Cricetulus griseus: one gene and its partners. The protein of the gene in region 1 interacts with the protein of each later gene in a pairwise test. Links are inferred from orthologs where the notes say so. Each region holds a gene or a part of one and is shown on either strand. Other genes may lie near its edges.

Region 1 (5,438 bases):
TTTAGGATCATTAAATAAAACCTTCAGTTTCAAGCTTTGTCCACCTTATTTAATCCATAGGCTTTTAAAATGACCTCTATTAGCATTTTGGTTGTTGGTCATTGATACCATTATCCACACCTTTTGAGATATGAACTAAAATCTCCTTGAATTAATTAAATCCTCTAGCAGGAATATGTTTGATAGGGATTTAGGCAGTGGATATCCAGGGCTTTATTAAACAGGTAAGGTTAGATAGTACTTCAGAAATATTTTCTGTGTTGTCCACCTGTCAAAGCACCATTTTATGTGCCTAGCACTTTGAAGAGTATCTAACTTTCTTTGGGCTACTGGCTTGCTATTATAGCATAACGCTCATTTAGGGGGAATCAGTAGCTTTCTAAAAATAACCTTTTTTTTTTTTGTCAAAAGGATAATGCTATTTTCATTACCGTTGCTCTGGATAAAACTAGTATCCATAGCCGGGCGTTGGTTGTGTACGCCTTTAATCCCAGCACTCGGGAGGCAGAGGCAGGCGGATCTCTGAGTTCGAGGCCAGCCTGGTCTCCAGAGCCAGGGCCAGGATAGGCTCCAAAGATACAGAGAAACCCTGTCTCGAAAAAGCAAAAATAAATAAATAAAATAAAAAATTAGCATCCATATCGTCTGGGATACAAGCGCCTTTGTCTTCTCTTTCTTGTACCTAGTAAACGGTTACAAAGGAAATGTCACTTCACATAACATGTAGTTACCAAGATGTTTGAAAAGAGACACGGACATTTTCCTCACAGTTGTCCTAAATCACGAAGCTTTGTGCTGCTTCAAGTTGTTCAAAGTGTGCCAGGAGGAGCACTCAACTGCTTCGAAGGCCAGGGACAGGAACGGAATATTGCACAACCCAACACCACCGGGCCGGTTAAGCTTCCAAATCTGGCCTCCGTGTCATCCCCGGGCGGGAGGCACTGGGATTTCCTCGCGAACCCGCCGCGCGGTGCCCCTCCCTCCGCCCAGGGGACTCGTGGGAGCGGGAGGACGGCGCGCGCCGGGCCGCGGGATGCCCCATTGTCCAGCGGCGGAAGCCGGGGCTCCCCGGGGTGACTCCCGAACTCGAGCCCCGCCACCCGGCCGCCCGGAGCTCCGCCATCCCCGTGCGGCTCCCCCCCGCAGCCCCATTGTCTGCCTCGCCTCGCCCCGCCCCGGGGGACACGTGCGCCTGCAGCTTCCCGAGCGCCCAGGGGCGGTGCGGCGGCGGCCCCGGCCGAGGTCCCGGCCGAGCGGGCGATTAGTGCCGGAGCCCCTCGGAGCCCTCGGAGCCCGGGGGCCGGCGGCGGGGCGGTGGGGCGGTGGGGGCGGGGAGGGCGGGGTGGGGAGATGCTTGTCTCCTGACAAAGAACGAGTGGGACACGCCGAGCAGGCCGCCCCGCCCGCGGAGCGCGAGGGAGTGTCCGCACGGAGGGCGGGTCTCTCATTCACTTGGCCCCTCATCGCCGCCGCGGCGGAAGGGCGGGGTCTCGACTCCCCTCTCCCCCTCCCCGCCAGGAGCTAGGGGCGGGGCGGGAGGCGGAGCCCACGGGCGCGCGTCCTGAGGCGTCGGCTGCGTCGTCACGTCAGCGCGGGAGAGAGAAAGAGCGACTCGGCAGGGACTGGGGACGGGCCGAGAGAGCTAGCGAGGGAGGGCGTGAGCCAGAGTGCCAGCGAGGAGGAGAGAAGGGCGGCCACTCGTGTCTGAGCGGCCGCGGACGGGAGTGGGGACGCTGGGGGAGGAGGTGCAGGGAGGGAAAGGAGGAAGGCCGAGGGGACAGGGCGGCCGGCGGCCGGCGGCGGCGGCGGCGCGGCGGCGGCAGGGGAGAAGGAGGAGCTGTAGGAGGGCAGGGGCTGAGGGAGTGAGTGAGAGAAGCGGACGCGCCAGGGAGGGGAGGGAAGGGGGGTCACGCGGGGGCGCGCGCGCGCACTGGGAGCGCGCTCGGAGGCGAGTGGAACTGGATCGGGTTTGCTGCCAGCGGCGTGAGCTTCGGCCGCCATTTTACAACAGCTCCACTCGCGCCGGACACAGGGAGCAGCGAGCACGCGTTCCCCGCCACCCGACCCGGTCGGACAGGATTCCTCGGCCGCAGCCCCGCGGGGAGGTAACGACCGCCGGCACCCGGGTCTGGGAGGGGGGCTCCATGACATTGTGGAGGGAGCTTGGGGGAGGGCGGCGCGGGGAGAAACCGGCTTTTCTGGAAAATGGATTCCAAGGGGGAGAGGAGCACGTTGGCCGGGGCTGCCAGGGAGTAGGCCGCGGCCGCGCCGCCACTTCCTCCTCTCCATGTGCTGCCGCGGCCGGGCTTTGTCTGCGGCGCTCCGGGAGGAGGCGCCTCGGCAGCCCCGTGGCCCGCGCGGACCGCGAGCGGCGGGCGGACTTGGTGCTGTCGTGGCCGGCGGCGCGGGAGTGGGCGGAGAGGCGCGGGGTGCTGTCCCGCGGCCGGCCGGCCGGCCGGCGGGCTTGGGCGGTGCTGGGCTCCCGCGGGCGTGCGCCTGGCGGCGGAACGCCCTCCCGGCGCGGGCTGTCGGCCTCGGCGCCCGCAGCCGCTGCACCGAGGGGTGCGGGAGGCCGGGGGTCGCGGGCGGCTGGGGAGCACCCGGGGCGGAGAGCCATGTGTCAAGGCGGAGACGGCGGCGCTGGGGGGCGGGGAGAGCCCGTGGCCTGGCGCCGCCGCGGCCTCGGTGTTGAGAGGCGAGATTGTGCGGCTGCACGGTTCGGGGGGCTCGGACCGCGACTGCGGGTTGATGTTGAGAGGCGGTGACGACCGCCTTGGCCCGGTACTCGGTGGGTTTCCGTTGAAGGAAGTTGTAGGACATTTGAAGGCGCAGAGCACGTGTTTCTAATGGGCTCCTGGCGGCCGCAGTGGTGAGGCTGCCGCTCCGGGTGCGGAGTCGGGGGCGGGCTTTGGGGTGTGGGGGTGAAGGGTGGAGGAATTGGGTGGTGGGAAGGTGGCTTGTGTGAGCGCTTTGTTCTTCGCTGGCTGTTGTTACTGATCTATAAGCGGCAGGCGGGAAAAGCGCACTTTCTGGTTTACCTTGGAGAGAGACAAGCCCAGCGTTGCTTTTCTTCACACACACCTTATTCTCCGTTTTGGAACTGCTGCATGTGGCAGGCTCGGCCGGTCCCTGTGCTGATTGGGCTTCATTTGTAATACGGTTTTTCCTAGCGAGTGTTAGCAGGTGAAGTCAGGGGTGGTGATCAGGAAAGAATGTAGTGCATCGGTCCGTCTGTACCCCGGGCTCCAAATCTGGCTTGTCAGGCGATGGTGACTTTAAGGTTTCTTTCGAGGGAGGCGCAGGCTGGCTGGTTGTAGTTACTGGTAGAAAGTAAAGATTGGGACTGTCATTGTCCTCTATTCTTTTTGAAGACCCTAGTTTAATTTTGCTTATTGCGTTTGAACAGATCTCTGGAAACATGGCTACAGAACATGTTAATGGAAATGGTACTGAAGAGCCCATGGATACTACTTCTGCAGTTATCCATTCAGAAAATTTTCAGACATTGCTTGATGCTGGTTTACCACAGAAAGTTGCTGAAAAACTAGATGAAATTTACGTTGCAGGTAAGAAACAACACTTGCAAAATTACATTATGAAATTTTTCTATTGGATTTCTGGCTTTGAGCTAAAATAGCAACTTTTTGTGGTTTCCAATAAATGTGGGAACTGGAGCTTTGCCTTGTTCTGATAGTTGGTTAATTTAGGTTTGATCTAGAGGTTAAAGTGTAGAGGGAGGGATGAAGTGGGGAAAAGACCTCCCTTAGGGGAACGCTGTCTGGCCTGACAGATAAGTATATGATAGTAGCAACAGCTGCTAAATGTTGAGAGCAGCCCATGTGACTTTTTGGGGTATTTTTAAAGCAGGGTTCTTGTTTAATAACTTGGTTACTGTAGGCTAGTTCTCTTGTTTTTCTTGGTGTGGTGGTTCCTTTTTTTCTAGTGGCATTTGACATTGAGTAGACTTGCAGTTGCTATGCTTGGTGTTTTGTTGGTTGACAGGATTTGTAGGCTTATATATTGTAGAAATATTGCAGTGTTCAGGATTACTTGGACACAAATGGGATGTAAAATATGTTGACTTCTTTCTGTGTGGTTGAGAGGACTTAGCTCAGAATGGCTAAAATATATTCTTCATTATGTAGATAAGGGGAGTAGAATCGCCACGTGTGTGTACCTGTATTGGCCAATACAGGACTTTCTGAAGAAATAATTTGGAAATTTTAAAAGGTGATAACTAACTACATTTTCTCTTTCCAGGGCTAGTTGCACATAGTGATTTAGATGAAAGAGCTATCGAAGCTTTAAAAGAGTTCAATGAAGACGGCGCATTGGCAGTTCTTCAACAATTTAAGGATAGTGATCTCTCTCATGTGCAGGTAATGTTAATTTCAGTGTAGAAAAAAGTACTTTTGATCTTATTTAAATTTAATTAGACACAGACATAATAGTAATGTTAATATGAATGGAAAATTTCATTACAGAACAAAAGTGCCTTTTTATGTGGAGTCATGAAGACTTACAGGCAGAGAGAGAAACAAGGGACCAAAGTAGCGGACTCCAGTAAAGGACCAGATGAGTCAAAGATTAAGGTATGTTTTTGAGAACTTTCTGTAGCTTTAAGTGTGTGTGTTTTGTTTTTGGAGACAGTGTTTCTCTGCAGCATTGGAGGGTCTTTAGACCAGACTAGCCTCTAACTTAAAGATCTGCATGCCTCCACCTCCCAAGTTGCTGGCATTTAAAGGTGTGTGTGCCACCACTGCCCGGCCTTTTTTTTTTAGTTATTTTCTAGCTTTGGTAAATATTCCTGCAGTGTGGCATGAATATATTTCTAAGGTTATTGTCTTTTAATGGCTAGATTTTGAAAATTAACTTACAATTCATTTTATCTTGACTGGCTACCAATGATCCAACCTGTGTTGTCGCTTCCAAATTAAAAAAAAAAAAAAAGATGGATCAATGGTTAAGTCTAAAGTTATCCTTAACAGGTTACTGACAAACTAATTGGGGGCAAATGGTTGTTTTCTTGGGAGGCTTAGGTCATGGTGAATTTGGAATTTTAATATTGCCTCTCAAATTGTTACATTTCTAAAAACAACTTTTGACAATAATGCTGTTCAGTGTGGTAAGCAAGGACATTCATTGGGTTGGGAGTGAAAGTTTTTTTTTGTTGTTTTGCTGGTTGGTTGATTTTTAGAGTCATGAAGGAGATTAAATTGCCTCATTTAGCTAAGTTTTTATATATTTGTGCTGGGACTTGCTTTGTAGACCAGGCTGGCCTCAGATCCCCCTGCCTCTGCCTTCTGAGTGCTGGGAGTAAAAGTGTGTACCACCACTGCCCAGCTATGTTAGTTTTTTAACTAACATAGTTTTTGGTGTTTTTTGGTACTGTTAACTCTTGAGGTACAGGTTATGATTTAAGAATAAGAAAACTAGTT
Region 2 (4,956 bases), on another chromosome or scaffold:
CAGTAGCAAAGTGAACACTGGGGAAGAGACCTCACATAAAAACATACAGGTCTAAGAGCAATGCTCTGGAAGTAAGGGGTAGAGAGTGGAAAAACCAGGTGGACCCCAGCCCTCTGAGAGACAGCCTGCAGCCCTCTGACTGCAATACAGCTGCCTCTACACCAGGCCTTCCTTCTCAACAGGTAGGAGAGTCTAGTATTGGGTGATTTGTGGCAGGGATATACAAGCCAACTTAGAGACTGTAAGTCTCCTTTGCAGTAGGGCCTGGCTTTTGTTGATTGTCCCTCTTTCAAACACGGCTGCACATTTCTCTGATGTGTTATTCCTTGCTTTGTCCAACAAAACAAGCACACCCTGAGCCAGTGCAGGTCAGGCACCTGGTCCTTTCTGCCAGCCAGGTTCCCTTTAACTGGACAATAGAGAAAGGACAGGGTCTATACTATGTTGTATGCTCATGGCTGAGATTGGCTGCGAGGGGCAGGAGAGGGGACAGGTGATGGGAAAGAAAGCTTTCAACCTCAACAGTTTACTTTCTGTAGGGCTGGACAAGCCCCACATTCACGTTGTTCCTGTGGTTCTTGGGCCAATTGAAATTTGCCTGTAACTGTTCCCTTGGCAACCAGCAACCAAAAGCTGTTGTTCAAACACGTTTCTCTAAATGGGCCTGTTTCCTTTAGCTAAAAATGTGTCTTTGAAAGAAAAACATTTAAGTAGAAAACTTAACCGTGTCCTAAATAAAATATAAATGTTAGAATCTTGTTCTTTGGGAATTTAGGGATTTTGATGTTTGATGTTGCTTTTTTTTTCCCCCCCTGTGGTGCTGGCGGTTGGAGCCAACTAAGTACTCTACCACAGAACTATAGCGTCAGCCTTTTTAAAAGGATACTCCAAGGTAAATACTTTATAAGGAAAAGATGGGGCCTGACTTATGGTTTTGTTCAGTTTTTGTTTGTTTGAGTGTTAATTTGCTTTTCCCTTTGCCAGAGCTGTAAAGGCCGCAATAGGAACCACAAGAATAAATTACATGCTCTCCAGTTCTGGGCTGTCCCCTAAGTAGCAGCCACTGTCCTTTCCTCTAATGGGTTCAGAATGGCTCATTGCAATGTGCCTGCTCCAAGGGCTCCCAACAGGTTCCAGGGAGAAAAGTGGGGAGGAGGTGGCTTTGTTCTGGAAACTAGAAGGCAGCTCCATAAAGAGCTTTCCTAGGAGCTCGATAAATATTTAAGTAGTGTGTGTGTGAAGAGTGTGCTGGAATGTTCTCTCCACACACACTGCTCAGGGCAATTACTCCTCACAAGCTCCACAGTATTGTTCTGGGGTGATCTGCATTCTATTTTCACACACTTGACTACTGTTCACTGCTCAGTGGCTTCTTCAGTCTTCTATGGGGAGATGCACGGCCCATATTCCAAGCCACCAGAGGCCAGCTAGCAAGTTTGCAGAGCCTGGAGCAGAACAAGATGCTGGTTTACTCCCTCATAGGCTAAACCTGGCCTATTCCTACACGCTCCACAAACAGTGGTGTTCTTTGGCATATATCATTTGATTTAGTCTTTTCAAGTCACTGGGATTGAGGGCATCACCTCTCACTGGGGCCCAAAGTCAGGTAACAGGCTCAAGGTTACTCAGTCAGTGAATGGCAATGCCCACATTTAGAACCCTGGGCTTGGCAGGAGTCAAAGTGTTCGCCCAAGTCACCCCACACCTCCTGACTTTCATTTAGAGACCTGTGTCCTCCTTTCTTGAGGTCAAATATTAGCAATCACGGTGACCTAGAAGGGCTCCAAGGCATGGAGCTTCATGGCACTCATTCATTTCCACTTCTGAACTTTGACTCCAAGCTTCACTCTTCGACCTTCAGCTTCCAGAAGAGTGTGTGAACCCTCCACAGCCACCTCTCCAAGCAGGAGTAAGCAACCCGGGGTGTGAACCTGGACACACTGGTGGCTGTGCATCTTAAGAGCTCCTACCTCCTGTTTCTGTTTTTGAATGCTGGTGTGCTGATTGGTTAAAGGGCTCTTTGCTCCATCGCCATCTGCAGTTCCAGGTGGCATGGGCATGTCTCACCTGACAGAAATACACTGGATATCGTTCTACCAAACACCAGACCCATCCACTAAGAATGTAACTTTTAAAATGAAATAGAATAAAATGGTCCTTTAGAGCTAGATAAAATATTGGCAAAGGTATGTTTTTCTTGTTTTAGTTTGTTTTTGTCTTGTTTTATTTTGAGACTGGGCCTTATTCTGTAGCCCAGGCTGATATTGAACTTGAGTTAATCCTCCAGTCTCAGCCTCCTAAATGCTGCGATTACAGAAATGAGCTACCACACTTGATTTTGTTTGGAGTTGGGTAAGGAGAGAAATAGGATGTCTTGCTGTGTAGCCCAGGCTAGCTTCAAACTTACTATCTTCCTACTTTGGCCTCCGGAGTGTTGGGCTATAGGAATGTACCTACACTGAGCCATTTGGCCTGAGAGAAGACACTATCCTAACTTGTAAGACATCATGGATACATATTTACATATGAGCCTCTGTCACACACACTCACACACACACACACACACACACACACACACACACACACACACACACTCTCTCTCTCTCACACACACACTATCTGATTGAGAGTCTCTACTCCTCCCCACCTCATCGCACATATCCTTAAAGGAACCTCAGAGAAGAATCCATATTTTACCAAATGTGACACAGACTCGTAGTGATTTTGACCAACTTGATAGGCATGGAGGCATGTTTCAAAATGGTTGGCTTGATGTGAGACCTGCCACATCTGGCCTGACACTACAAGCCACCTGCCTTGCTGTTCGATGCACAAACACAACTCCTGCTACCCCATTTCCATGGTCCATTCTCACTTCCCAGATGTGTTACCTTTCACCAGCTACACTGTTCACGTATTCTCTGTAGACCTCCCCCTCTCGGGGATAGTGAGAAAGACTCCATAGAATAACCCAGAGGGGTCACAGATAAACCTTCCCAGGACACCAGCTGTCCACCGTGAAGTTTCTCTCACCCCCCAGTACACAACAGAAATGCAACAAAGAACCCCGTAAGGTGACTTACAGTGGATTTTGAAGTCCTTGTACTGTCTGTCTTCAATTGCTACCACGTATAAAGCTGCCCGGTCTGGAAACATAAGCCCTCCAGGTTTCTGTTGATGAATTGTGGGGAAATGGGTCTCGTAATCTATTCACCTGACAAAGACATCACATTTTGAACTGCACATAGAGTCACCAGACAAGCACCCCCTTGCCAGCATCTCTCACTTAGTGGACGGACCAGCTTGGCTGGACATGCCAGTTACACATCCTAAGCTGGGGGAATCTTAGGAGCCCGGGTGGAGCTGACAGGACAAGCGGGGTGCAAAAGGCAAATCAAGGAGGGGCGGAGAGCCAGCCTGTGGTTCGGGCCAAGCCTTGGCAAACAGTACCCCCGGCTCTCTGGCGGTCTTAACAAGAGAAAATGGGTTGCTGCTCTAGCCAGAGGGGACAGAGTTAGACCGGCTATGGTTATACAGTCTGACAGCTAAGCGTGTTGGACCAGGGTTGACCACTCGTTCCCCTGAAGCAGCTGTGCTCTGAAGAGAGGGCCACAAGACAGTGGTCTTCTAGACCCTTCCTCTCTGGAAGTCTCATGCTCCTCCCAGGTGGGAGGCGATGGGAAGTGTGGCGAGACAGCCACCCAAATAATGTGGGGGCAGCATGCGGACCACTCACCAACCACTTGTCCCTGGCGAAGATCACGGTGTTGAGCATGGACTCGTAGAACAGACAGTAGCCCATCCACTCACTGATAATGATGTCTACCTTGTCCACAGGCAGCTCCACCTCCTCCACTTTGCCCTTAAATATGGTAATGACTAGAAAACAAGAACCCAGAGCCATGCTGTGCCAGGACCCTTTGGCACCGTGGGATCCTTGCTGCCGGACTGCTGAGTTTTGAGCCCCACTCGATTCCAGCTTTTAGGGTGTGACTTACCTTATCCTCCAACAGAGGAGCCTATTGGTTACTGAACACGCTAAGGTCTTTGAAAGCAGCTGCTTGAGTGTGTCCCTCATCAAAGGTCCTGGACACTTACTGCGCATTCGACTCGGTCCCAAGCCGGCAGAGTACACTGTGTCATGCCATCTGCCTTCAGAACTAAGTGTATTGTTATCGTCGCCTTCTTGTACAGCGAAGGAAACTGAGGTCTCAGGGTGAGGTGATGGCCATGGAAACAGAGTCCAGGTCAGATAGAATGGGACTGTAACTGCCCTACTGTGCACTCCCTGCTCCGTGTGAGGTTACCATGACAACTCAGACCTGAATTGCGCAAAGGACACTGCGTGTGTTGCTCTTGCATCTGTGCACAGCCAATGCCCTGTATTCAGTGGGTGCCCATCGAATGTCTGTGAAGGAGGCAAATTGGTGTTTTGACAAGACCATGGACTCAGCAGACAGAGAAACCCAGGGTTAAATGCTGGGTCTTCTAATTAACTGTCTGATTTTACACACATCACATTGGCCACACAATTCCCATCCAGTTCCCCAAAGAATACCAGAGAGCATGAGGTCTTTGTCAGGCTGGCTGTGTTGAGGAAATGAAACAATACCTAGGAAGTGCCAGTCCTGTAGACAAGGCTCAATAGAAGGTAGACATAGCAGACATGTTCCTTATTTAACACTATATGGAGAAGAGAAAAGGATAGAGCCCCCCCTCTCTGTGAGAAGTGACTTCCCATCCCATGGAAGCAGGAGAATGGTCTTAGTTGAATTTTTGATTAGCTGATCCAGAAGGACACATGATTTTTGTATTCTTTGATGCACAGATGGAGCGGAAAAAAGTGACCTTAGGGTCTGCTGTGACACTGGAAGGGTATTGTACCAGTTGCCTGGTCCCTTCTTAACATCTCTACTGAAAGGTCACACACTTTGGTGCTCTGAAACCCTCCTTCTG
Region 3 (5,366 bases), on another chromosome or scaffold:
GAGAACCACCAAGAACCTTTACCCCAGTGGACCGGAACCCTGTCCTGGAAGCCAGCCTGTTATTACATGCTTGGATTTGAACCCTCACCCACTTAAAAAAAAAAATCCTCCCCATGTTTTTTTGTTTATTGGTTTAGTTTATTTTGTTTTGGAGACAGGATCTCTCTGTGTAACTCTGGCCATCCTGGAAATCACTCTGTAGACCAGGCTGGCTTCAAACTGAGAGATTCACCTGCCTCTGCTTCCCAAGTGTCAGGATTAAAGGCGTGTGCCTCTACCTCCCAGCCAATACTCCCCATGTTTTAAATCTTTGGTTGTTTCTTTTTTCATTTTGCAAATGGTATTAATAGTAACATTCTCTTTTAAAAAAGCAGTTTTATCTAAATATGACCTCATCCTGTACGAGAATGTGTAGGGGCTGGCCACAGTTTGTCTCCGGGGTAGCAATGCAAAGAAACAAAATAGTTTCCCACAAAGAGACCACAGAAAGAGGCACCCAAAAGTATCTGCATACATTACAGAAAGGTACCAGTACCAGGACCTGCTCAGTCTCCAGTCCTACACAACAAGGAAACTGCCATTCCAATACATACCCAAGAGAGACACTCCATGAACACATCCAGACACAAAACAGATGACACCACAAAACACAAGAAAGCTGTCGCTGTTATACTGTTTATTGTTGCTGCTCATAGTCCAATCCAAGACTAAACTTACAGCCCTTGTTTCCTCTTAGTTGACTTAAAAATCTCTAATTTTGGAGGTCACACAACAAGGCAATACATTACTGACAATACAAAGAAAAACAGTGAGTGGCAGTGGGGGTACCCAGCACTTCACCTAATGGGTGTAGGTGCGCTCCAATTTATGTCTGGTTTCTCTCACATTTCTTTTTGGGGGTACTAGTTCCCCCATTCTTGCCCTGATTGTTGCTCCGATCGTGCCCTTTTGCTGGATCTAGAAGGGCTTTTTTGGTGTCCCTTCTCTAGAACCTCACTTAGGTAGGAAAGAGTCAAACAGGTCTCTGTCTTTGCCTGTATCTCCTAATCTCTCCAAGGTCCTAATCCATTGCTGGGTGTGGTTGTCCTGTTTCCATTGCTGGGTGTGATGTCTGTGGTCTGGCCTCATCTGTGGAGAGAGAAAGCAGGTGGTGGAAGGGGCAGAGACCTGGGTTTGAATTCTGGCTTCCCTACTTATTTTTTCTGTAGCCTAAGTGAAGTACTTGACTCTGTTAAGATTCAGTTTCCCTTTCTGTAAGCCAAATTTCCTCCCAATTGGAAAGGCTCTATGGGAAACTTCCCCCATTCTGGTCATCAGAGTGGAACTCGGAGTTAAATACGGGTCTCATTCTTGCTGTAGATGACACCCTATTTTTTTTTTCTATTTACTGGAATGTGAGTGTGCATGCATGAGTATCTACACATGAGTATTCTCATATGCTTGGGTCTCTGTGAGCATGTGGAGGTAGGTCAGAGGATGTTGAGGGCATGGTCCTTGTACTCCCAGAGAAGCACTAAGAGAACCAGGAATGTTAATCACACAGGGTGTCTCCTCAATGGAGGAGATGAAATCAAATACCTGCATTCCATCCAGAAAGCTGAGAGTGGGTTTGTTAACAACCTGGTGACCAGGAGGCAGGCCTCACCCTAATTCCCCAAAGTGATTATCCCAGACTCTTCCCTCCCTAGACCATTACCCATCCTTGGGGGGAGATGTCACAAGTACTTTACAGCCTGCTGACCTCTATGCTGTTGGTCAGAGATCACACTAGATTCTAGGTCTTCTAGCTATAGAACCCATCCTCATGGTTACATGTACTTTGTAAAGGAGTCTCTACTGAGTCACGCTTTAAGTTTTATTGTGCAACTGGAATTGAACTGATTGGATTGATTGTTGCGTGGAAACCTTTTCCCAAATTGTACAGAGCTTAAAATAGGCTGACAGTGAACCGCCTGGTATTAGCCTCTCTGAAGCCTGATCCAGGTTGACAAAGTTGATCTGCACTAGGTTTTCGTTCCCATCTCTTCTCAGGCTCGATTCCCTGCCTGGATACCTGCAGGGTCCTCCTAAGGGGAGAACTTGCAATTGATTCTCTCCCCTTTCATCATGTGGGTCCCAGATGTCTAGCACAGGTTGTCACTGCTGGCAGCAAGTGCCTTTACCTACTGAGCCATCTCACCAGCCCAGGGCTTGCTTTTGATTCCCCACTTCCTACTCAATTACACTCTTAGGCCTGTCACCCTAAGCAAAGCCACTTTTACTGGCTCTCTGGCTCGTGACTCCTCACCTCCAGCTCTGCCTCAGCGCCAGGCCTTTTTCCTTTCAGAGTTCTGGAACTTGGTCAGCAGCTTCCTCTCATGCCCACCAGGGCTAGGGCGGTTGGTATTGGCGGCAGCTTCTCTCTTGGTACGACCTTTCCGGCCTCCCCCGACTGGTGGAGCAACAGGTAGAAGGGACACGGGCAGAGGAGAGGTGTGAGGTTCAGAGGACAGACAAATGCCTGGGGCATAGGGATGAGAAGGGCAGAACAGCCAGAGGGCAGCTGGTGGTCGCCCTGTGAGGTTGGGGCACTCTATCCCTGCTGTTTACTAATGTATAGAATGAGAGATGCTTAGAAGCGAGCCCTCAGAGCTGAGGAGGACAGAACTCAGTATACGAGGCTAGATTGGGTTTACTTTGGGGTAGGGAGCAGATTAGTTAGAGAAGGCAATCTGGGAGAGAAAATCCAAATCCAAGGAGGAGGATGAGAAGTCAAAGAGCTGCCCAGCAGGCCTACCGATATAAGGATGGGCCAGGCTGTACTGGTCATACTCATCCAGGATGTCATCTTCATCCTCTGGGTTTAGGGGTTGCTGGGAGGAGCTGGTTGTTGGTGGCAAGGTAGCCATCACCCTGCTCTGCCTTCTCCAAAGTCTTGCCTGTGTCTTGTTTTCCAGCTGTCTGCCCTCACCCAGTTCCCTCACCCCTGCTTATAAAGCTGTCTCCTCCTCAGACCACAGGCTGGCTCCCGCCCTTCAAGTCCTGTCTGATGCAATCTGGCCTTTCCCCAGAACTGGGCCCACAGACGCCAGCCCTGAGCAGAGAGGCACACCCTGCCCTTCCTCCTCCCTCACAGGGCTCACCCAGGCCCAGCTGTGTTTTTCCACATGGAAGACTCCTGCCTCTCGGGGAGGAGGGAGCAGACAGGATGTGGGCACAATCTTTGGCATGTTGGCCAGGGAGAGCAGAGGGCCTCAGATGGGCCACTCCTTATCATTTCAACCTCTGCCACAAGCCCTGCCTGGCTCTAGGTCATGGCTACACATTGCTCCCACCACCACTCTAGTCTGGTTCAGACTCAGGACTTGGTGGCAGCATACACCCTGAAAAAGGAGAGAGGAGGGGACAGTGACACGCTTCATGCCAGGTCAGCAGTTCCTATCCAGTCACACCCAAGGCTTCTATTTTTATGGAAAGTCCCCTTACTGTACTTCAATAGAGTCCCTAGGTACTTCCCCTCATCCAAGGAGATGCAGGCTAGCTAGCTGGTAGAGACAACAAACACCCTGGATTCAACACTCTGACCCCTAATCAACCTTCCTCTGCTCTTCCTTCTGACAGAGTCCCGTTATATAGCCCAGCCTGGCTCTTGAACTTGTAATTCTCTTGCCTCAGCATCCCAAATGCTTGAATTAGAAACTCAACAAGTCAGCTGAGATCCACTGTTTCCTGTGTGACCCTGGACATGTCACTCTCCCTCTCTGATTGTTCCAGTTTCCCCCTTTAACAGAGGATAACCCTACTGAAGGGACCAGACCCTCACCCAGTGCCCTGCTTTAGCAGCCATGACAGGCTGCAGAAAAGACCCAGCAAGATGTAGGCTTCTGACTCAGCACATGTACATGTTTGACCTTGCCAGACTGTGCTAGTCACTAGGAGGTCAGATACCCTCCACGTGGCAAGGAACCAATCAGAAGTTAGCTGGTAGGCTCTGGACATGCTTTACAGTAAAAGTGGCATAACAGTGGCATACAAAGTATAGCAACCGCCCTGGGAGGGCCATAACAACCCGTTGACCAATCAACACAGAATAGGTCATCCAAGCCTGGAAGTGCACCAATCCTGAGACTGTTGCATACCCTTAGACACTCCCGTCGCTCTCCCCAATAAATTCCCTGCCTCGAGGCCCCTTCAGGTCCTTCTCAGACCAACTACTGTGTTGGATAGATGAGGGAACCCAGTTAAGACAGTTAACTAGTTAAACAATAAAAGACTCTTTGCTTTTGCATTGGAATGGGTCTCGGTGATTTTGGGGTTCAGAATTTGGGCACACCTATCAATCTTGGTTGGTGAGAGTCTCCAGTGACATAATGCCTGGAAAGGCCCTTGCATTAGCTGCAAACAGCGTAAGGGTTTGTCCCAATTTCCCATGGTTTCCCATGCAGTGCCCTCACTGTGACAAAAAGAAGAGTGGAAAAAGAAGAATTTAGAATAAAATAAAATATTGTGGGCTCACAATATGGCTCAGTGGGTAAGGTACTTATCAACAAGCCTGGCAATCTGAGTTCAGGGGTGTCCAGGACACAGTGTCCCACATATTGTCCTCTAACCTTCAAATGCCCATACACACACATACAAATATATAAATGTGGCTTTTAAATGTTAAGTAAAATAATATATTGATGTGGAAGGCATGATGAAACAAACAGGTCTTTGTACGCCCCCACCCCCGCCCCATTTTAGGCATTCTTAATTTGTAGCTGTGGATAGCTTAGAACTCTCTCTGTAGACCAGGCTGGTGCTGAGCTTGGTGATCAACCTGCCTCTGCCTCCCGAGTGTTGGAATCAAAGGTGCACATCACCACATCCAGCCAGTATGAATTTAAGTATGAGTTAAGTATCAAGTGTTTTCCGTCCACACTGGCCTCCCCTGTGATGGATTATAGACAGGCATGTGCCACCAGTCTTAGAATTTTTGTTTTGTTTAAAGACTAGATCTTATCATGCTGCTCAGGTTAAGTCAATGTCCTAGGTTGAAATGATCCCCTTGCCTCAGCTTCCTGAGCAGTCGTGGCTACTAGTGTATGTATGTACACCATCATGCCAGGTCTTAGGTGGGAACTTGATAAAAGTTAATATGAATTTTAAGTTCAGAAAAGAAATATGTGAAGCCAGACAGTAGTGGAGCACACCGTTAATCCCAGCACTCAGGAGGCAGAGGCAGGCAGATCTCTGGTCTATAGAGTGAGTTCCAGGACAGCCAGAAATATACAGAGAAAACCTGTCTTGAAAAACTAAAAGAAAAAAAAAGAATCATATGAAATGGAGTTTTCTATTCTCTCTCTCCCTCCCTCCCTCTTTCTAATTGAAAAAAAAAAAAGTTTTCT
Region 4 (5,609 bases), on another chromosome or scaffold:
GCATATTTTCCAGTGTTCCCCCCCGCCCCGCTTTATGATGCTAAGGATAAAGGCCAGTATCTAGCACATTCTAGACAACTTAGCCACATTCCAAGAGGAGGCATGTTTTAAAGGCCCGAGGAGCCGGGCGGTGGTGGCGCACGCCTTTAATCCCAGAACTTGGGAGGCAGAGGCAGGCAGATCTCTGTGAGTTCGAGACCTGTCTGGTCTACAAAAGCTAGTTCCAGGACAGCCTCCAAAGCCACAGAGAAACCCTGTCTGGGGGAGGGGAAGGCCCGAGGAATAGATGAGGATTCCTTAGAATGCCATTTCAGTTGACTGAACCCTGTGTCTCCTCCATCAAAAGGGTTGGGGAAAAACAAGTGCAGCATGAACTGTGGACCAATTCCCACCGCCAATCACCAGAGGGCGCCAGACACCCGCAAGGCCTGACCTCATCTTGATGTCTGCAGCATGCAGGCCAGCCTGCAGAGCACTGGGCTAACCAACCTCCAAGGCAGTGGACCCAGGAAGAAGGGTAGCAGGGCCCATGTGGATTCATTCACCCCCGCCCAACCTTTCAGCCCTTTAGGATGTACTGGCTTTAGGGTAAGTCTTCACTCACCTCATGGATGCCAAAGTGGGCATAGGAGTCAAAGTAGTAGTCTTTGGATGTCATGTCCTCAGCATTGGGCTTCTCACTGCTTTCTGCTTGAGCACAGGAAACCTGAAAGAGGGGGAGTAGCAAAAGGGTCACAGGTGGGCTCTTCAGAGGTTCCTCAACCTGCAAGAAGGCCCCTCTTCAGAATGGGACAGCCCTACAGCCCCCTCCGGCATCTTTCTTCCCAAGGGACGGTATCCACTTCAGAACCCACCCAGAGCACCATCCAGGGAGCAGCCGCCTCGCCTACCATCTCTCCAGGCTCTATGCCCGTCTCTAGCTCAGCCCACAGCTGGGGAGGGAGGGAAGGGAGGGCAGAGCCAGGGCAGACACATTGAAAGCCAGAGGAGGAGGGCTGGAGATGGAGTTAAGGAAGCAGCCATGGTTCTGGGGGAGCCAGCTTGGGCCAGGAAGGGGTCTGTCCTATGTGTTTAGGGGCCACAGCAGGGGAAACTGGTTTGAAGCAAGAGGATGAATAGACCTCCTGAGGAGCCAGGTGCATATCAAAGTATGCTTATATGCAAGTGGGCTGGGGGGGTCTCACAAAAGGATATTTACTTCTTCAAGAGGCGGCTGGAGGCTCATCCCATTAGCCAAGGTGGCTACAAAATTCTAGGAGAGAGTAACAGGGAAAAAGGGTTAGCTACTGGGGTGGCTGGGGAAGGCCTTTGGGGCAGTGAGTGTTTTGCAGGTTGGCTTTTCCTGGGCATGGGAGTGGTGTAAGCAGGAGCAAGCAGTGTGGCTGCAGTTGTGTAAGGAAGGGATACAAGTGGGGAGGGAAAGGAAGGTGGGGTCTCCTGTCCCAGCTGTTGGCTGAAGAGATGGTGGCCCGCCCCATGTTGTCCCTCTCTGGTCAGATAACTGGCCACACATACCTACCCTATCTAGGCCAGAGGGCCCAATACCTGCCAAGGCACATGGGCACTTTCAGCTGTTGCTCCCCTTCACTACCTAATCCCCCCTAGATTAGGTGACATTTCCTGACAGACACACCAGGCTGAAGTGCCATGAATAAACCGGAGGGGGCTGACAGGTAATGGGTGCTGGGCACCTGTCTGCCCCATCACAATCCTGTCTCCTGGCCAAAGATCATTCCAATAGAGAAATGTGGCATACCCCCACACCACAGTGAGTACACCACCCCAGCTCCACCCGGGCAAGGAACACACAGAGCAAGGCTCTTTGTTTTACCTGCCCCCGGAAGAGGGCTGCCCCCCAGGAGTACAAAATATGCCTTGGAAAGCTGGGGCAAGCTGTTACGATAAATATTTCTGCCAAAATCCGCCTGAGCCCCACCGCCACGTGTGAGCTTACGAAAGCCCCCCCTTTCACACCCCACCTTGGTCCCCACACTGAAAACTGCCCTCTTTTTCCTTTGTCCACAAGTGCCAGGCCCAGGGTCACTTCAGTGACACTGTAGGCGAACTGATCCCCATGGCAGGTGTCCCAGCAACTGACCTTCCTCTCCAGAGAACTTGAAGAGGTATGGGTACCACCAGATTATATCCCATCATTATCCCATTAGATAGATGACTGCTATCTAAGGCCAGAGAGGCCACGATCTACCACCTCAGGGGTCGGGTAGCCAGTGGGGGGAGTTCCCATGTGGGCCTCTCTTTTTCAGTAGTACAGATACCAGCAGGTTAACAACTGACTGAAGAGGGTTTGTTCTGTTTCTGGCTTTTTTTTTTTTTTTTTTTTTTGAGACAGGGTTTCTCTGTGTAGCTTTGAAGCCTGTCCTGGAACTTGTTCTAATGGGCCTTGAACACACAAAGATCCGCCTGTCTCTGCCTCCCGAGTCCTGGGATTAAAGGCATGCACCACCACACGGCTTCCTGAAGAGGGTTTGAAACCTGAGACTAGGAGAGGATCTGATTTACAGGCCTAGTAGTGAAGTCTTTCACGAGAGCTACCCGGAAGGCTTAAGCAAAGATGGCAAGTTCAAGGCCAGCCTGGGCTACAGGGTGAGTTCAAGGCCAGACCCACTTTGCATCAAAGTTAGTAAAAAGTGGACTGAGGAATACAGCTCAGGGGTGGAAACACTCAACTGTAAGCAAATAAGCCAGGTGCTAGAATTTGATTCTGTTTTGGGGGGGAAATTAGGCAAAGGTGAGAATCCTAAAAAAGGGGTCGGGTGGGGGTCAAGGCCCCTTGGTCTGCGTGCCTACATAGCCATCCAGCCCCAAGACCGACCTCTGACCATCCACCCGAGGGCGCTTCCATGAGGGGGTGGGCTTTGGGCCACGCCCCATGAAAAAGAGCCCCTTTCACAAGCCCATAATGACCACGAGGGGGTGCCCGGCGCCGGATCCGGATCTCCTCGGTGGAGATGCCCCACCATCCTCTAACAGAGAGGTCACAGGGCTCTGCCCATCCCCCCCCAACCGCACAGGGGTAACTCAGAGTGGAGGAAAGTGAGGTCAGGCCCCACGAGGGTGCACGGATGTCCACCACCCAGCGGACAGCAGGACGCAGGTGGCACCCCCCAGGACCCCCGGAGTGCAGCCCAGGTCACCGGGCCGGGGGCGGGGCCTTTGTCCCGCACGTGGAACCCGCGGGGCCCCTCGAGTGGCACACCCCCCTCCCCACGCTACGCTGCGCGACCACGTGCGGCCCGGCTGGACGCGCCCCCGGCCCGCGACCACGTGCGACGGCCCTCGACTCGACTGCGGGGTCCGAGAGTCCCATAAGCTGGGGTCGCCCCGGTCACGATTGAACACATCCCCCGATGCGGACCTCCGCGAGGCCCAGCACACCCAAGGCCCCGTCTCCACAGTTCAGGCCGTGGGTAACCCGTCGTCCTCCCCCTACCCACTGGCCTAAAGAGCCCAGCTACTCACCTCCATGATGCAGTTCGCGGCCTCGGCTGCCGCCATCTTCACCCGAGTCCTCCGGCCTCCGAGACCCCCCCCTTTCTTCTCTCTCCCCCCGGCCGGGGACCGCCTTTTACCAGAGGGTCCACCGCCCGGCCCCCGAGACCCCGCCATAAGTTTCCAATGGCTGGCGCAGCCGTCAATCTAACCGCCTCGCACTGCAATTGGGCGCTGAGCACGTCTATCAAAATTCGGGCGCCCTCCCCTCCTAGCGTTCAAAGGACCACCCCCTCCTGTCGGCTAGGAAGGGAACAACTGTCTGTCTATCTTAGGCAGCGCATGTGATGATTGGAGGATATCCCACCAGGTCTTCCCGCCTCCTTCCGGCCAGCTCCGCCTTGAAGCTTCCCGGCGGGCTCCGCGCTAAGCGGATGTCGAGAGACTCTGCTGTGGATCATTAAGATGGCCCGCCTCTCCGTCGCCGCAATTAGCTGAGCAAAACGTGACGTTGCAGGGCTCTTGTTCCAGTCCCTTCGAGAGACTGGCCAAGAACGACAGGGACCATTGGCCCACAAGGAGGTAGGCGGGGCTTTGGGCGGAAGCGATTGGCTCCCAGGAACATCAGTCATCAACGTTCGGTGGCTTCTCCGGAACTGGGGCGCGTGGGCGAGCTAGGGGAAAATGCCGAGTCGCTGTGAGTAGATGTGGAGGCGTTCTCATCAGGGGTCCTGAAACTTGTCAGGAGTCGTAGTGAATGTCAGTGCGATGAGCCATAACCTTGTACTGGACTGTGCCGAGTTCTGAAGACCTGTGGCCTCCTAGTCCTTTGCATGAAACACCCATCTCCCTTTGTTTGGCCAACTCCCACGCGGCAATTTGGACTCCATCTCCTCCAGGAAGTTTCCCTGGATCTGCAGAAAGTTACTCCTGGCCTGAAGATGGATGCCAATTGCTGGGTTTGTGCCCCTGCCTCTTACCTTTTGTCCCACCAGTACTCGGCCCAAGCACAGGGTCCTTTAAGTTCCCAAATGTGCCTCTCCACTCCAGGCCTCCTCGTGCTCAGATGACCTTCTTCCTTCCGACTCCTAACACTGTTTAGTGTGCGTGTGCGTGCGTGTGTCAAGTCTTGAGCGGCAAGCACTGCACCATCTGCTGCACACGTAAGGTATCTGGTGTGAGGCAGAGTCTCATGGTACAGCCTGCCTTTGTCTCCAAAGTGCTGGGATTTAAGGCTTGTGTAAACTTCTTCCAGCCAGTATGATTTTTCTTTTTGTTTTTTCGAGACAGAATTTCTCTGGCTGTCCTGGAACTCGGAGATCCTCCTGTCTCTGCCTCCCAAGCGCTGAGATTAAAAGTGTGCGCTACCATTGCCTGGTTCAGTATGATTTCTTGATTGACTCCTGCCTATCCTGCTACTTCATCCCAAATATCAATAGCCTCTGGGCTTTTCCCTCCAATTCCCTCCGTCAGTTTTGTCAATCCCCAAGGCCTTCAGCCCTAGTGCTCCCACCTGCCAATCCCTGCAGCTCATCTCTGCCTATGGCCTTTTTGGGCCTCCCTGCACCCCCAGGACAATGTCTCAATCCTTAAACTACCTCCATTCCCGCTTTACAGTTCCACCCTAGTTACCTGCGGCTCTTGCCACCTTTATGCTTCCATGCCATTTCTCATGGTACAAGGGATCGAACTTGGTTTTCTTTCAGGACAAGAGATTTTATCTACAGCTAGTGACTATAGGGCATTCTGACTTCTACCCAGCCACTCTGACAAGATATTTTAATGACCTAACACAAGGAATCTGCAACACAAGGAATCTGCAAAATTAGATGGCTGCTAATATAGATTTTTTGTTTTATTTATTTTTTTTGTTTTTTTTTTAAAGATTTTATTTATTATGTATACAACATTCTGCTTCCATGTATATCTGCACACCAGAAGAGGGCACCAGATCTCATAACGGATGGTTGAGAGCCACCATGTGGTTGCTGGGAATTGAATCTCTGGAAGAGCAGTCGGTGCTCTTAACCTCTGAGCCATCTCTCCAGCCCTTTTTTGGTTGTTTTTTTTTTTTTTTTTTTCCCCGAGACAGGGTTTCTCTGTGACTTTGGAGGCTGTTCTGGAACTCACTCTAGGCTGGTCTCCAACTCAAGAGATCC

The links.
Region 2: the proteins of Syncrip (region 1) and Prmt8 interact in binary tests that used the Homo sapiens proteins (3 or more experiments, as listed by UniProt). The link is inferred for Cricetulus griseus from reciprocal best matches to the Homo sapiens genes SYNCRIP and PRMT8.
Region 3: the proteins of Syncrip (region 1) and Nupr1 interact in a two-hybrid assay, tested with the Homo sapiens proteins (2 studies listed by BioGRID and IntAct). The link is inferred for Cricetulus griseus from reciprocal best matches to the Homo sapiens genes SYNCRIP and NUPR1.
Region 4: the proteins of Syncrip (region 1) and Prmt1 interact in binary tests that used the Homo sapiens proteins (3 or more experiments, as listed by UniProt). The link is inferred for Cricetulus griseus from reciprocal best matches to the Homo sapiens genes SYNCRIP and PRMT1.

What each region holds. Positions count from the first base shown.
Region 1 is NC_048597.1:198,398,898-198,404,335, reverse strand, and holds the start of Syncrip (heterogeneous nuclear ribonucleoprotein Q), read left to right. Parts: upstream 1-1,910; 5' UTR 1,911-2,105; intron 2,106-3,406; 5' UTR 3,407-3,418; coding exon 3,419-3,566; intron 3,567-4,260; coding exon 4,261-4,379; intron 4,380-4,484; coding exon 4,485-4,592; intron 4,593-5,438. UniProt on the Homo sapiens protein: Heterogenous nuclear ribonucleoprotein (hnRNP) implicated in mRNA processing mechanisms. Component of the CRD-mediated complex that promotes MYC mRNA stability.
Region 2 is NC_048601.1:18,724,673-18,729,628, reverse strand, and holds part of Prmt8 (protein arginine N-methyltransferase 8), read right to left. Parts: intron 3,880-4,956; coding exon 3,737-3,879; intron 3,172-3,736; coding exon 3,084-3,171; intron 1-3,083. UniProt on the Homo sapiens protein: S-adenosyl-L-methionine-dependent and membrane-associated arginine methyltransferase that can both catalyze the formation of omega-N monomethylarginine (MMA) and asymmetrical dimethylarginine (aDMA) in proteins such as NIFK, myelin basic protein, histone H4, H2A and H2A/H2B dimer.
Region 3 is NC_048596.1:74,154,302-74,159,667, reverse strand, and holds Nupr1 (nuclear protein 1), read right to left. Parts: upstream 2,977-5,366; 5' UTR 2,889-2,976; coding exon 2,777-2,888; intron 2,432-2,776; coding exon 2,301-2,431; 3' UTR 2,288-2,300; intron 1,129-2,287; 3' UTR 901-1,128; downstream 1-900. UniProt on the Homo sapiens protein: Transcription regulator that converts stress signals into a program of gene expression that empowers cells with resistance to the stress induced by a change in their microenvironment.
Region 4 is NC_048599.1:153,869,651-153,875,259, forward strand, and holds the start of Prmt1 (protein arginine N-methyltransferase 1), read right to left. Parts: upstream 3,588-5,609; 5' UTR 3,517-3,587; coding exon 3,481-3,516; intron 1,253-3,480; coding exon 1,199-1,252; intron 994-1,198; exon of another isoform or gene 894-993; coding exon of another isoform or gene 891-893; intron 707-890; coding exon 605-706; intron 1-604. UniProt on the Homo sapiens protein: Arginine methyltransferase that methylates (mono and asymmetric dimethylation) the guanidino nitrogens of arginyl residues present in proteins such as ESR1, histone H2, H3 and H4, FMR1, ILF3, HNRNPA1, HNRNPD, NFATC2IP, SUPT5H, TAF15, EWS, HABP4, SERBP1, RBM15, FOXO1, CHTOP, MAP3K5/ASK1, MICU1 and NPRL2.